Linked DNA regions of Oreochromis niloticus. The protein of the gene in region 2 interacts with the protein of the main gene of each other region in a pairwise test. Links are inferred from orthologs where the notes say so. Each region holds a gene or a part of one and is shown on either strand. Other genes may lie near its edges.

Region 1 (8,029 bases), on a different chromosome or scaffold from region 2:
AGTGATGGTTTTTGCAAAGTATGTAGAATCGTCCTTTTTCCTTGTTTGTTTTTTGGCGTGCAACTAATCCTGCAGTGTTTGTCGCAGAAACACTCTGACGACTGCTACAGCATGGGTCTTGGTGTCAAATTTTCAAAATAAAAGCCCCCAGTTTCTTAACGTAAGCTCAATATATTTTAAAATATATCCAGTTTCCAAAATAAAAGCCCCCAGTTAAATACAAAAAGGTATCAGTATGACCATATCTTTACCAGAATGCTTTAAAGTGTCACCTTTTCAGAATTAAGTTAGTTAGCAGATGTTAGAGATGCTTTACACTGAGTTTTTGTTTTTGTTTTTTTTAAAGAAAGTACTTTCCTTCTTAATGTAAGCCTGATATGTTTTTTTTTAATTAAAGCCCCTAGTTCTAGGAAGTTATGAGGACAACAACAGCAGTAGTTGTTTTCCTGAATAAAAGCCCCCAAACAGTTACTGGCTGGTATCAGTGTCTTCCCTAGTAAGTTTTATACTAGTGATCAGAATTAAAGCCTTTGAATTTAATTTTTTTTTTTTTCAGTTTTCTTCTGCTTCAGTAACTATTTCTTTTTTTTAGTCGGCCTATTTATGTACAACTATTTAAGCAGCAAGCAGCCGACCAAGAACAGCAGTACCAACAAATCCAACACTCTTTCTCAACAAATTTTCAGTTTAACTTCAACTGACAGCTGTTCCCCTTCTCCCATTGGGGTTCATTTCATAAATCTCATCTAATAGAAACCAAGATTTAGTAGGAATCACAGGAATCTGTGCTCCTGGTTTGCATGGAATTCTCGAGGATTTTTGTGGTAGGAACATCAATTTTTGTTTATGAGAGACAAGTGGGAACGAAAAGAAAGGATCTGACCTTCTGGCTGTGCTTACGAGACAATCTAATAAAGTCTTAATCAAGTAAACATTTATTTCAGTCACTGGTTTGTTTTTTGGTCAAGAGACTAACATGTGAACTGTGAACCCAGAAGGAGAGAAACTAAGACTGGACAAAAGGGCTATTTTAAAGTCTGATTACATGCTTGATGATCAAAATACTCAAGGCAAAAATGTTTTTAATATTCCCCCTGTGGCGTTTTGCATTGTGGTGAAACATTTACCGAGTTGACAGGCAGCTGAAGTTAATCATTGTCCTATTAACAGTGTTGAAATCGTAGCATAAGAATAATCTATATCTCTGGCCTCTTGTGCTTCAGCTGTTTACTAGTGAACTGCAGATATGTATATTTACTACCAAAAGTCTGCAGTCTTACTTGTGTAAGACAAGTAAGACAACTTTTTGTGATGCATAGTCTGGAGTCTTGCTGCAACAGAGTAGATGGCTTTACACGTGGTTGCCTGGTTGGCAGAGGCGGGATGTAAACAACAACTAAGATGGCATTTAAAAACTTCCCGAGCATGTAATGTGTGTGTAACCTCACAGCTAGCAGTTCAATGTCAGAGCTGCTGAAAGTGTCCTTAATGGTAATGTGACCTGGGTGGCGCAGTTTGTTAATAAAAGCAGCAATCTAGCCAACGCTTTCCTTGTCACTCTGATCTTTTCCTGTTACCAGAAACGCCTGAAAAGCGGTATCAATAGGAGCCAGTAATTCCTCTAGCTCTCTCTGAAACAGTACACACAAGATTTATTGCAGAAGTTTTTTTTTTAACTTGTCCTCATTACTGAGGCAACAGGCTCTCGGGAGTAATAGAAAACAACGTTGTGTAATGTTAGTCTCTGTACTAAAAGGTCTGTTTATAAATTGTAAGTGATAGGAAGTAGCTCCTTAGGCTTGGAAGTTTCAAATTAGCTCTTAAAAATGGATTGCACATTGCCTTTAGAATAATCGGAGCATTTGGAAATTGACTCTTTGAATTGCAAGCAAGAAACGAGATTGTGTTGTGTAGTTTAATATTCCCCCCAAAATGATGTCCAATTATTCAAATATTTGAGATTCATTGTGAAATAGGCTGCTATGAATACATTCATAAACTCAGATGGATTTTAGATCTTACTTAATTTAAACACTATCACTAAGCTGTTTTTTGTTTTTTAGTTGTTTAAATGTGATTATATAAAGGTAAAAAATTTAGAACCCAAGAGGCAGGTTTAGCTGCAACATTGACAACCAAAAAAAGAATTACAAGTCTAAACAAAGTCCAAAAGGCTTGTGCAAACACGACAGTAATCTGGGAGACCACAAGGAGGGACACCAGGTGAAACAGCAGACAGCCTAACCAGTAACACAGGGTGAGACAGGAGTATATACACACAGGGCTAATGGGCACAGGTGAAAATAAATGAAGACAGGTGAACCTAATGAGGGTGGGGCAGGTAATCACAAAGGTGGCAAAGCAACACACAAAGACACAATAACCACTCAAAAAGAGGAAGTGAGTGATAGTGACACAGAGTGAAGAAAAAGGAAATACAGGAGACATGAGAAAGTAGTGCTTTCTAAGACAATAAATGAGATAAATCTTAAAATCTAAATAAAACCTAAACACCATATAAGCCATTCATGAAAGTTTCTTTGACACTGTAGAATTTAACTGATATTCCATGTCCCCATTTGTGCATGTTCTACCCCACCGTCCCACCCCTGCCCACCTGCCTTGGTTGGTGTCCCCCTGGAAGAGGAGGTGGCTGGGGAGAGGGTGTTCTGGCCATCTCTGCTTAAATTGTTACCCCTGTGAACACAACCTAGATACGCAGTGAAAAATAAAAGGAAAGACAGCTATGGTTTAAATCTGTACCCTGCACCACAGAATGGCGTGCACCTTCACAGTAATATAACTACGTGTTTATGCAACATAGACTGCAACAGCCTTGATAGGGCTGTTTGGTAGCATGGTATAACCTCAGTATATTGATTAACACAGGGAGGATACCTCTGTGTAACAAAAGTTGTAACTGTCTCGTGCTTACAGTTATGCTAATAAAATAGCTAGTTTTCTGCATGTGTAGGCATTTTCTCATTTTCACAGTCATAAAAACATGTATCAATGCAGCCTTCCTGCATTTTAGTAAAAGTAACTATTCCTGAAGTTTCATCAGCTCCAGATCCAAACAAAAACTGCTGGTAGAGCAATACACACAGATCAATACACATAAATATATATATAAATACAAAAAATGACATCATCCCTCAGTGAGGATTCAACGCAGTACTAAATCATGCTGAGGTTTAGCCGAGACACCCTTCAGAGAAAGCTGCTCACATTCCTGATCATGTTCTTTTGGTCATAAAAGCATCAACATTCGTTCAATTTCTTTCTTAATCAGTTCAGGGTCTTAGCTGGTCGCCAGTCATTTGGAGAGACAGACAATCATGCACGCTGCCATTTACAACCACGGCCAACTTAGAATCAACAGTGAAGCTAGCATGTATGTGTTTGGACTCATGGAGGAGGCCAGAGTCCCACAGGAAGAACATGTGTTCCAGCTGGGCAGCAGATTCAAACCTAGGCTACAGTTCTGGACACAATGCTATGAGAACCATATTGCTCTCCCTCCCATCATCACAGGTCAAAAATAAAGCAGCTGCTTGATGAAATCTTTATAGCTTCTTCGGCAGATTCGCAATATGTGTTGTTGTCTAATAAACCAATGGATCCATGTGCAGGCCTCAGCTAATAGGGTTAAACTTCTTTGTCATTTGGTGACCAGCTTCCCACTCAAGCTCATAAAGGAAACTTTGAAGTGCTATTTCTATTCATTATTATAAAATATTATTAGTATTACATTACCTTTCAAGTTATTTTTCTTTTTATAATGGAAAGTTAGTGTGGTTGTGCATTATTGGTGTTTGTGTCGCTTACCCACTTAAATCAGCCAGACATTATACTTTAATAAATAGAGCCATGATACATTTTCTTTTATTTTTCACATATACTTCCCAAAGAAGGAATTACTGCTGATGGTCAGCTGTGAATATTCTTTGTCTTATAACTATGTGTTTAGGTTATAGCGGTGACAGGTTCCACACACACGTCATGGTACAGGATTTCTGTTCTGTCACTTCCTGATTTATTTTGTAATCCTTGGACCATGTTCATTCCTGTTAGCTTTGCTTCTGGTCTTGCTTACGTTTCCCTCCAATTTTCCACCACACCTGTCCCCAATCAGATAATCACTCTCCCCAGCATATAAACTCACAGCTTCCCTTCTGGATGGGTTTCTTTTTAAAATAGCTTTTCATGTTTGTGCTTTGTGCCCATTTTTGGGTGAGGGATTAAACATGAGAAGAAGCGGCTATTATGACATTCAGGTATCAATTGCAAAAGAAACTGAGTATGTATGTAAAAGATTGTTGTTGTTGTTTTTTTCTGTGCTCCTCCTCCCAGTCCATTGTGTCCTATAGAAAAGACAAAGGGCGTGAACTACAACTGCGCACTTGCCTCCCCAAATCTAAGTGAAACCACATTTGCGTATGTGCTTTCACACACACTCACACAGACGCACGCGCTCACACAATCAGTACCATACACTCAGTCTCAGTCATGTAAATTGCTGAAGTCAGAGCTGCTTCCCGTTTTTCAGTAGTTCCGGCTTCTCTGTTGCCGTGTTTGGATAGACCGTGCTGAAAAGGAAGTCTACAGAAACTTTGCTCAGGAAGAGAGGGAGAGGAGAAGCGCAAGGAGATCGTACTTTCAGGAGGAGGAGGAGGTTTTCCTACTGTTGTGAAGTTTGCTGCGGGGTCTCTGCCTAAAGCCATGGGGGCGTTTAGAGGTGTTGACAGAACTGGAGGGAGCAGAAAAGTGCTTTGAAAGGCAGACCAGCACGTGTTGTTTTTTATGTTCCATTTTTTTTCCCCCAAGCAGTTTTGCTCTGAGTGAAAGAAGTAAACCGGATCATTTTGTTTTCTCCTGATGGATTTTAGAGGGAAACCCTACACTGCCATAGATTCCTGAGGAACAGACGCCGCACACAAAAACTCTCACACACGTTAGTGGGATGTTATTAGATGCTTGAAGAAACATGGAAGCACTGAGAGAGTCTTTTCTTCATTTGACTTTGCAGATGTCCACATACAGGCGAGCCACCCTGGACGAGGAGGACCTGGTAGACTCCACCAGTGACGATATCTACCCATCAGCTCCCATGCAGGTAAGAAAGCAAATACCTTGGGCTAAAAATAAGAAACAGGTTGGTGCTGGTACTGGATTATTATGAAACATGTGGGTAAGTGTGTAACTGTTGAGGTTTTGCACCTGGTATAAGACGGCAGATTTTCTAAATTTCAATTACAGATGAACCAACAGCAATTTAGGCTTATGATTAGATGTTTTTTGAACCAAGCTGTCCTCATTTAGTGGTTCAATAAAAGCTGCCAAAGTCACTCTAGCAGTAGTGTTAGTTTAACATGTCTATCCATAACTTTAAGATATATAGTACTTAGAAATGTATTCCTATTCTGATTTGTGAAGGAATTTGAAGTCTTCATGTAATTTTGCAATGGCCAAAACTTCTAAATAGAGGCCTCATTCTGAACTGAGCGTGTGCATGAAATAGAAGATTATAAGATTAGTGAGTATATTTGCATGACGGTTGATCGAGAGACGGCCTAACTGCTAGTGAGCTGGGACATATCCTCCCCAGTGTCTGTAGTTCTCAAACTTAATTTGGATCCACTGGATTACTGTTAATAAGTTAAAAAAAGAAGAGAAGACAGTGGGCTTTAAACTTTCTTTTCTTCTGAAGTCACCAGAAAAAGAAAACTGGTCACATCACTTGTGTGGGTTTTTTCCAGTTCTGTCCAGAGACGGTGTTTTGGTTTTTGCTCAGCGGTGGCCGGGGTGCACCCAGCTCTCACCCAGTATCAGCTGGTATTATTCCACTGAAACTGGTTGGATAAGCAGTTAAGAGAAGGAATGAATTGATGGATAAATGCATAGCTGTCATTTATATCATTTTCATACATGTTGGGTGCAGATTGCTGCCTCTGAATTATTTTTATTCATGGTGGGGACAAAATAAAACACCTGTAAAATAAAATTGTCAGTGCTATAACTAAAAACAGTCTATACTGCAAACAATACTGAAATCTGAACTTTACCTTCACTGTTTTGCTTGGCTTTCAGTGTGGCATCAAGCACAATTTAACCATGTCAACAGTAAAAATAATGAATAAAGCTAGCTAAATAAGAGAATTCCCAACAGCATGTACTTGTATTTTACAGGAGCCTTACAGAAACATCCTGGAAATTTTATTCTCTGTAGTAAAACCGATGCAAAAAGCCATCATCAAAATGGACTGTAAGAGTATACTGTTGCTACTGCCCTTTCTCCTATTCATGTATTTGGTTTACAGCATTTTGAGATCATTTTATAACATTTCTGCAATTTGGCAAATATTAATGTTTGGACAAATGTCTTGATTGTTACTTGTATAATTTAAAAAATGATTTGTCTAAGAGACCACAACGCAAAAATATGCCACAAATTCACTTTAGATTTAAAACAGAATGAAATTGGTTGCGTTTTTTTCTCCCCATTGAGATGAAGTTGTCTTTATTTATTTTTTTATGATGGTTTTCACACAAGGAAGTTGTTGCGCACAGACACTGAAGCATTTAAGCATGAAATCCTTTGTATTTTTTCTGCTGTTGAAAGAACACAACATGTATAAAGAATTTCACTGAGACTGTAGATAAAGACCATTTGGCCTGATTCCTTAAGTTAAACAGTACACTGTTCACGTCCATATAGTGCAGACACACACTGCTTTGTGCAGTTCATCCTTCAGTTCATTCATTCTTTAGGTGCTTTATTTAACCAGGATTGAAATGGTGTTCAAACTGTGCCTAGAGTCAAGTATGACTTGTGGGTTTTTTATTTTTGTGAAATGAAATGTAGCTTCCTAAGACTGTGGCAGACTACAGGTGAAAAAGACTTGGCAGTGATTATCCCAGTTATGCTCAGAAATACAGCTCTGGACCAAACCTGCTTAATGCACTAAGGCTTTGGGATTAAGAAGCCGCCTTTGCTTCGATCGCACTTTAATTTGGCTTGTGAAAACGTCTTCTAATAGCAGCAAATCTGATCCCTATATTTATAGTTTGGGCATACCTGGCTTCAACAGTGTAGTGTGTGGAATGAACAAAAGCCACCATTTATTTATAGGAGTCTCATTTAGACTGACCAGAGTTCTTAATGTGTCCATTGAAGGATATGAGTGACTCTTGGAATCAAAGTCTTTGAGCCGCTTTTCAGCAGATCGTTATCGGTAAACTCATCATTTATAGGTGAACCACAAAAGCAGCAGATAAAGTTCAGCGTTGTCTTGTCTTATTTTAGGCCAAAAGTAAACTGTGCTTTTATTAGTAAGGAAACAATGAAAGAATGCTTGACCTTTTTCCATGTATGAGAGCTGAGGAGACTAATGGAGAAGCCATTGTGCTGTGAAACCATACCTGTCATCAAATCCCTGAGAAACTTTGTCTATACACAATATTTTCCAGTTTTTGTTCACAAGTAAATAGACTCATTGTGTGTCATTCATGCAGTAGTGTCTGTGGCTTTGACTTACACAAATCCTTTAGATGGCTTTTTTTATGTGTGCAGGTGAGCCTTCTGCGTGGCCGTTCCTCATGTTGGCCGAGCAGGACACAGACGGAGAGGAGGCTAATGTGCTTGGTGTGTGTTCTGTCAGTGGGCCTGTTCATAACTCTCATCACAACTGGGATTTTCTACAAACAGAGTGAGTTCAAAGTTTTGACACCTCAGTGACATACAGCGAAAAGAACCACCTGTGATTTCTGTGAAATTGACTAATTAAATAGAAAAGCCCACTTCATACCTATAATGGTGCTTTTATCTACAACAAAGGTTCAATAACTATTATTTTTGATCTTTCAGTGATTTTATATTTAATCTTATTCAGTTTTTTTACTGAACTCCATAAAAAAATTAAAGAAGCCTAGCCTGTAATTAACTGATATGCTTAAATTTTAAAATCAGCTGTTTCCAGTAACTAAGAAAATGCAGAAACCATCAAAATATTTGGATTACTGAAAATTT
Region 2 (7,849 bases):
GGAGGATGTGGACAAGTGGGTGAAGAATTTGTCTGACAGACAGCTCACCCAAACAGAGAAAAACATCCTTGCTAAAGGGTTGAATTTTGCTGTCACACCGAGACAAATCCTGCTAGTGGAGCTGATCACAGCCACAGAAACAGCAATTCGTAACAACAATATTGCAGAAGTGGAAGCAGAGCAACTATGGACGAAAGTTTCGGCCTGTCTCAGCAATGCAAAGCCACCAGCATCCAACATCACCATGGAGGAGAGGAAGGCACTCACATCACTTAGTGATGACAACAACATTATCATCCTTCCGGCAGACAAGGGTAGGTGCACAGTATTGCTAAACCAGAAAGACTATCATGAGAAGATTTTGTCACTACTCAGTGATGAAAATACTTATGAGCCCCTGAAACGAGAACCAGGAAGTGGCTACAGGAAGAGGGTGATAGACTGTCTGAAACAGTTGGAACAAGACAAGGCTATTGACCGGACCTCATACCACAGGCTATACCCAGGGGAGTCTACACCAAGTCTGTATGGTTTACCGAAAATACATAAACAGGGTGCACCTTTAAGACCGATTGTCTGCATGATCAACTCTGTCACCTATAACATCTCCAAGTTTCTGGCTTTGATCCTCAACCCGCTGGTGGGCAGCTCTGAACACCACATCCAGAACACTCTGGATTTTGTTGAGAAGGTGAGAGATGTCATAATGGAGGCAGATGAAACCATGGTCTCGTACGACGTTACATCTCTCTTCACTTGCATCCCAGTCACGGAAGCGTTGGAGGTAGTCCGTAAGAGATTACAGGATGACACCAACCTCAGCAACAGGACCACTCTCAGCATCGACCAAGTGTGTTTGCTTTTGGAACTGTGTCTTCATTCCACCTACTTCACATACAAGGGTCAGTTCTACAGGCAGAAACATGGGTGTGCCATGGGCTCCCCAGTTTCACCCATCGTGGCCAATTTGTACATGGAAGAAGTGGAAAAGAGGGCTTTGCTATCCTACCCTGGGACACCACTGACAGGGGATTTCTTTAAATCACCCTGCCGTTCTTCAGCTGAGACATCTGATTTAGAAAACACAAACACTGCAGAAGTTTTTCACTCGCAAGGGGCAGTCATGGACGCATGACCTGCGTCTCATCACTGTCTGGGTTCTTTATTTATACAGTTCTGTGTGTGTGTGTATATGTGTGTGTGTGTGTGTGTACAAAAGTAACAACGTCACTCAGAGCAGCGGGTTTTTCCCTTTACATCTAAATGTTCTCTGAAAACAGGAAGCAGTTAGTAGCTGCACACAAGTTACTAGGTGAAAAGTCACATAGACATTTGCTCAGTGATCCTAAAAGAGCACATTTCATGTAGCTGATAACATATACACAATTTTCCTTTGACAACCACCAAGCCATTGGTTCAGATATGTGGATGACACCTGGGTGAAAATCAAATCTCAGGACGTACTACATTTCACGGATCACATTAACTCGGTGGACCGAAACATCAAATTCACCAGGGAGGATATGAAAAGTGGCAGGTTAGCCTTCTTAGACTGTGAGATTTCCATCAGTAATGGGGGACATCTAAAAGCTGACGTGTACCGTAAACCTACACATACGGATCAGTATCTAAGGTTTGACTCTCATCGTCCACTGGAGCACAAACTGGGTGTCATCAGGACGCTACAACACAGAGCGAACACCATCCCCACTGACACAGCGGCCAGGGAGGCAGAAGAACATCACATCAAGAAGGCCCTAAGTAAATGTGGTTATCCCAGCTGGACTTTTGTCAAAGCTGGAAAGGCACCTAAAGAAAGCTCCAGCCGATCCAGGAGAGAAGGACAACCGCTGCCCAAGCGAAAACCTGTAGTGATCCCATATGTGTCAGGAGTATCGGAACAGTTGAGACGCATTTTTTCTAAACACCGGGTCTCTGTGGCTTTTAAACCCCAAAACACGCTGCGCCAAAAATTGGTCCACCCCAAGGATCGGGTCCCCCGACACAAACAGAGTAACATAGTGTACGCTGTTAAGTGCCAGGAGGATTGCCAGGATTTATACATCGGGGGAAACCAAACAACCTCTGGCGAAGCGGATGGCACAACACAGAAGAGCAACCTCGTCAGGCCAGGACTCTGAAGTCTATTTACACCTACAGGCCAGTGGACACTCTTTCAATGATGAGGATGTACACATCCTGGACAGGGAGGAACGCTGGTTTGAGCGCGGAGTGAAGGAGGCCATTTGGTCTTTGATCAGTGGGTTTTGGTCAGTGATTGTTGATCAATGGTCATGAGAATTTGCATAATTATGATTAAGGAACTGACCTCCCAGCCCATTGTTCCTTCAGTGGGCTGGTTTCAGTCATTATGCAAATGTACTTGGGGAAACCTGCAGTCAGCTGAGACTGAAGAAGTCACTTGGATGAGTGGCGAAACGTTTCTCCCACAAAACGCTACGTCCAGATGAACAGAATCAACTTTTGAAGATTAACACGTGCACCTGTATTTGACATTTCTTATTTCAAGAAAACGCAGATAGAAGCAAATTTGGTATAATCTAAAGTTTTTTCCAATGTTTCTTTAATCATTTCAGAAGATGGTAGGGTGAAATACAAGGTCAACTTTAAGGAGAAGGGGAGGAGCCTAGTGTCTGGTCACCACATTGCCTTTGAACACATGCCAAAGGTGAATGAGTTGTTTGTCGGTGCGCGTGTGGTGGTCCAGAGCAAAGACGACCAGTTCGTGCCTGGTTTCATGGCAGAGGTCCCCTGCAGAAAAAACCGCATGAGGTTAGTGTGCTTTACTCTGGTGATAAATTCAGATTGTGAAGGTGGGAAAAGTGTAAAATCACTTTTAATTTTTATATTCCAGGTTCCTGATTTTTACTGATGATCACACTCCAGTGTATGCTGGCTTACGTGCAATGCACATGGTTTGCAAACCGCGTAAGTTCAGGTTATTTATGGTTGTCTGTCTCTGTGTTAGTCCTGTGACAGACTAGCGATCTGTCCAGGTGTACCCCGCCTGTCGTCTTATGACAGCTGGAACACCAGCTGTCATAAGACTGTCGTCAAGTCCATAATATCTAATTTTATAAAATCCAGAATCCCAATTCTTCTATACTCGCTGTCCACAGCAGCTGCTATTATAATACTGCTACTAAGATTTTCCATTTTCTATGACAGTGGAGAACCCTTTGGATGATATCCTAGATGAAAAGCACAAGCTTTTCATGCAGAATTATATAAAGAAGTGGCCTTATCCACCCATGACGCAGTACCACGTCGGACAGACTGTAAACGTGGAACGTAACGGATTTCTGCAGAGGAGTAAAGTACTGGAGATTGACTGCAGTTTGATGGAAGTTGTTTTTTTGGTCTGTTCCACCTTAAGTTGTTCCTTCTTTTTTAAATCCTGTTACATTTATTTCAATTTTGTGACTTACTGTAGTGTTCATTTCATGTTTAGGATGATGATCTTAAGGAGTGGATCCACCGAGGCTCCAATCGCTTGGAACAAATGATTACTGTGAATGAGAATTTAAATAAGACTTAAAAGGAGGACGGGAGGAAGAGTAATACTACCTCAGTCAATGGTAAACTACTTTCGTATGTGGAGAAAAATGATGTTATCCTGGTTATCCCTACTGGCTTACTGGTCTCTCTGTTTCCTTGTTTTGTGTGCTTTAGAGTCATCACCAACATCAAACTGATGGACTGTGAGGATGCTTTAAGTTTGACCTACTGTGCCTTTTTCTTACTCCTGGGGAGAATGCCATCAGATCATGCAGATGCTACTGATACAAATGTATTCATTTTATATTAGTTTTTGTACAGCTGAACGAAAATAACATTTTCTAAGTATGTTCAAAGTTATTACAACGTGTTAAGGTGAAAAAGTGAAAAGGAGGGCATCTCTTATATATGTGTGTGGTTGTAAAGTTTGCAGCTCATTTTGAAGTTGTTTTACCAATAAAATAAATCAAAATGTTTGTAATAAAACTACAACAAATTAAAATCAAAATGTGTGACTTAACATGTAAAAGCTTTTAAAAGCAAGAATGCCGCCATCTGCCTCCATCTCACCTCCAGTATATCCACTATCCTTCCTCTACACATGTCCAAACCATCTCAGCCTTTCCTCCTAAATTTGTCTGAGTCCCTCAGATATACTGACACTAGTTCACTACCCTTTCTCCATAGACATCTGTATACCACCACAGGTATGTCATTTTAAATCAAAGGTTTAAAACAGCAAGTCAAATATTTGGACATGGAGAAAACAAAAGTTAAAAGGTAGCTGATAAAAATCAGCGGTCCATAATTTAATAAGGACTTGTAACGGTTGTAGGTTGGGGTGGTAATTCCTCACTAGTTCCTTGTGGATGTCTACCTTCGAACAGGAGTAGCCACATTTGAGCGCAGGAGGGCGGTACGAGCGCCGAATTGAACCAGTACTAGCTGTACTAAGCAGACAGAAAAAAAACTGGCTAGGTGATAGCAAAAGAGCTTTGAACATCGAGCTGGCGAGAAGGTAGAGGAGAAAAGTGGAACGCCACCACGGATTTTTTGTGGGATAAACGCACAGGGCTCGCTGCTAAAACGGTAAACACCGTGTTTATTTAAATAAGCTACATAGCGATTCTGCAGTTAGCGCGGCTGCTAGCGTAAGTAGCAAGTTAGCTTAACGAACGTAGCTAAGCTAAGATGGCGGTCAAATTATTTACATTAGCTAGTGGCTAGCAGTGCATGCTAATAGATACTACGTCGCTTGTTGATTAGTTACTTCTCTCCAGGCTTTGAAATGTTGGTGCTGTTAGTAAATGTGCTGGACTGTTATAGAAGCTTAATTTTACTAATCCATGCAGAGATTAACGAGCTTAACGGTAATTTTGCTTTACGTTTAACGAGTGTTGCATCGTCTTGGAATGAGTGTAAACAGCATAGGCAACGCTTAATGAGTAGCCACGATCAATTTATTAACTTGGCATTTACTTGTGCTTTCACTCTGCGTTGGATAAAGCTTAACTGAACTCATTTGCCCTAATAATTACTTCTGACTACAGTGCTAATGGCTTTGCAATGGTTTGATGCGCCGCTGTGTCTATTGGGGGTTGTCAAGTTTATTATGGTTATGCAACAGGGTTATTATAGCTATATCATCTCATTTGAACGCTGATCTTCTTTTTTTCAGTATTTTCAGACCCGTTGCAATAGTTTTGCACATAGTTTTAGGTCCGTTGGAAAATTTTGTTGCCTTTTTAGGTATGAAGGAAAGTTGAACTGTTGTTCTGAGGGTGGCCTCCTATATAACCACGTTTACAGAAATGTCTAGTTCTCGGTTAAGGGTAGTTTAATTAAACAGTAAAAATAATATTTACACTTGTCATGCAGTTGAAGGTATGATGCTAAAAGTGTCTGTTTCCAAGTTGACAATAAAGTTTGTTATGAAATTGTCTTTTTACTTTCAATTTAAATTCTTAAAACGTAACGACAGTTAAACCAGGGAACTTGCAGACTCGCGAGACTTTTGGGTTGTGCGGAGTTCAAATTACTTAAGGTTGAATACGTTTTTATTGGCGAAAGGTCAAAAAATAAAAAGGAAAAGGAGTATTGTTCAGTAAGGTAACACAGATTTTTGCTTTGTGAAATCATATGTGGAAAAGCTGTGCTGATGTACATAGTCCTGATTTGAGCCTTTGGGGTAAAACTCTGAACTTTACAGTATTGTTGGGGGGTCTGTAACTACACACTAGAAACGTGCAGGTATTTAGTCCCTCAAATCCCATGAGTTTGGCAGTGATCATCTGCTCCAATAATTTGAATGTAAGGAATGACTTTCCTTAAACATATTTTGGTACTCTGTGCTAATTTGTTTCCTTTTTACACCAGATGCCTCACACAAGACGATACTCGTCCTCGGAAAGAGACAGTCGAGCCAGCTACCAGGATCGTTACAGAGACCGAGACAGAGGGCGACGACATCGACACAGAAGAACGCCGTCTTACTCCTCCAGCAGTGACAGAGAGAGAGACCGAGACAGGAGGGGACGTGGACACAGACAGGAAGGAAGCTATGTACGGTCACGGAGGTGCGTTATGGTCAAATTAGCTTGGGCTTTTACTCTTTCATGTTATATTTACCCCACTTTACTTTATTATTGGTTGCCAGTCCTAAGGTTTCCGTATATTTCTCTGCTCACTTATTCAGTCGCAGCTATGACAATCGCTCAGTGGAACAACGACCGTTTGACAGAAGATACTGCGAGGGATACAGACGGTTTGATCAGAGCAGAGAACGCGACAGAGACAGGGAGCCACACGGAGCAGCCGAGAGTTACTATCCACGTGACTTCTCGCCGAACATGTACGACTACAGACGGGGCCGCGAGAGGGAGCGTGAACGAGAAGAGTCGTATCGGCGGAAAGGCAGCAGGCGTAAGCACAAACGAAGGCGGCGTAGAACCAGGTCCTATAGCGCATCCTCCTCGGTGAGTACAGCCAGACCTGAGTTTGTGCTTTAAGTCCTCATCCTCTACCTCCACCTCCTGTTTCTTTCGCTCAGCTCTCTCTGCCTCTGTCCTGTCCTAACCTTTTCTTTACAGCCCCTAGATTTGGTAAGTAGTAAAACCTTTATGATTTATTTTTGTTCTGTCACAGGGGTTTTATTATATTTGTGAATAGGTGGGTTTGGCTCTAATTGGCTCTTTTTTTCAAAAATTCTTTCTCCTTTTTATGGTAGAGCATTTTCATTTTTATACAGATACCTTTTAGTACTTCAGCCACTATTTTGTCACAGATAATTGTTACTGTAATTTAGTTATTTTACTTTAATTTTTTTTTATTCATAAGAGGGCAGAAAGCCTTGTGATTTTTGTTTTGGCTCTTGCAATTATTATTATTATTTTTTTAATGATGAAAAAGTGAAAATGTTCTGCCAAGCATAGTGCATTAGATTTTTATTAAAATGAGTTAGCTCTGATTATTTCTTTCTGTGTGGGGTGTGGTTAATCACACCTGTTAAGTATTATTATGAACGTAAATGAGGAAAAGGTTTGAATTTGATGTAGTATAACTGTTGGGATTATCTTTAAAGAAGTCCTGCTTGAATGTTTATGGTGTTGTCATTTTATCTTTCATCTTGTTGCAAAGTTTTGAAGTAGTTATGTATATTATTGTTTAATTGGTTGTTGCGTTGATGAATGGATGTGCCAGTTGCTTCCTTGTTTGTAAGCAGCTGTGGTTTAAAGGTAGGGGGGCGGGAGAGGAGCAGAGGACAACATGTGATCTTTGACTTGTTCCCTTGCACTATATCCCTATCGTTATATATTTCCTTCACGTGGTGTCATGCGTGAATCGCCCAATGACCATGAAACCCACCTACAACCACAACTACATCAACTACCACCCTCCTCCTCCCTCCTCATCCACCTGTGCCACCTGACGCCGTGGCTGCGGCTGCCCCTGAAACCCCCCTGTCCCCTTCGGTCGTGTTGTGACCTGCTGATGGCCGTTTGGGTGTGAATACAGCGGAGCAACAGCCGGACGCGTGCACTGAGTGTGAGGGACGACGAGGAAGGGCACCTGATCTGTCGGAGTGGGGACGTCCTGCAAGAGAGATGTACTCACTGCCACTACTCTATCGTAACCCTTCTCCATATGAGTATTAAAGCATAGAGCATTTACATGACATGGGGAGTGCCTGATGATCATGATGATGATGATGCCTTGCTAGAATGCTCTTCGCTCTAGCTGAAATAGCAGGGTGGATTGCAAGAATGTTGAAGATTTTAGGAGGGACTTTAGATACAATCTGCTTTTTTTTTCTTTTTTCTTTTTTTTTTTT

The links. The genes of interacting proteins can lie anywhere in the genome.
Region 1: the proteins of clk2a (region 2) and ece1 interact in binary tests that used the Homo sapiens proteins (3 or more experiments, as listed by UniProt). The two-hybrid records come from large-scale screens. The link is inferred for Oreochromis niloticus from reciprocal best matches to the Homo sapiens genes CLK2 and ECE1.

What each region holds. Positions count from the first base shown.
Region 1 is NC_031970.2:10,800,981-10,809,009, reverse strand, and holds the start of ece1 (endothelin-converting enzyme 1), read left to right. Parts: upstream 1-4,987; coding exon 4,988-5,116; intron 5,117-7,573; coding exon 7,574-7,709; intron 7,710-8,029. UniProt on the Homo sapiens protein: Converts big endothelin-1 to endothelin-1.
Region 2 is NC_031985.2:16,846,172-16,854,020, reverse strand, and holds the start of clk2a (dual specificity protein kinase CLK2), read left to right. Parts: upstream 1-4,747; 5' UTR 4,748-4,865; coding exon 4,866-4,889; intron 4,890-5,494; exon of another isoform or gene 5,495-5,628; intron 5,629-5,895; coding exon 5,896-6,095; intron 6,096-6,214; coding exon 6,215-6,494; intron 6,495-7,533; coding exon 7,534-7,624; intron 7,625-7,849. Other genes in the region: histone-lysine N-methyltransferase SETDB1-B, read left to right, coding at 2,598-2,793, 2,876-2,949, 3,190-3,380, 3,473-3,559. UniProt on the Homo sapiens protein: Dual specificity kinase acting on both serine/threonine and tyrosine-containing substrates. Phosphorylates serine- and arginine-rich (SR) proteins of the spliceosomal complex.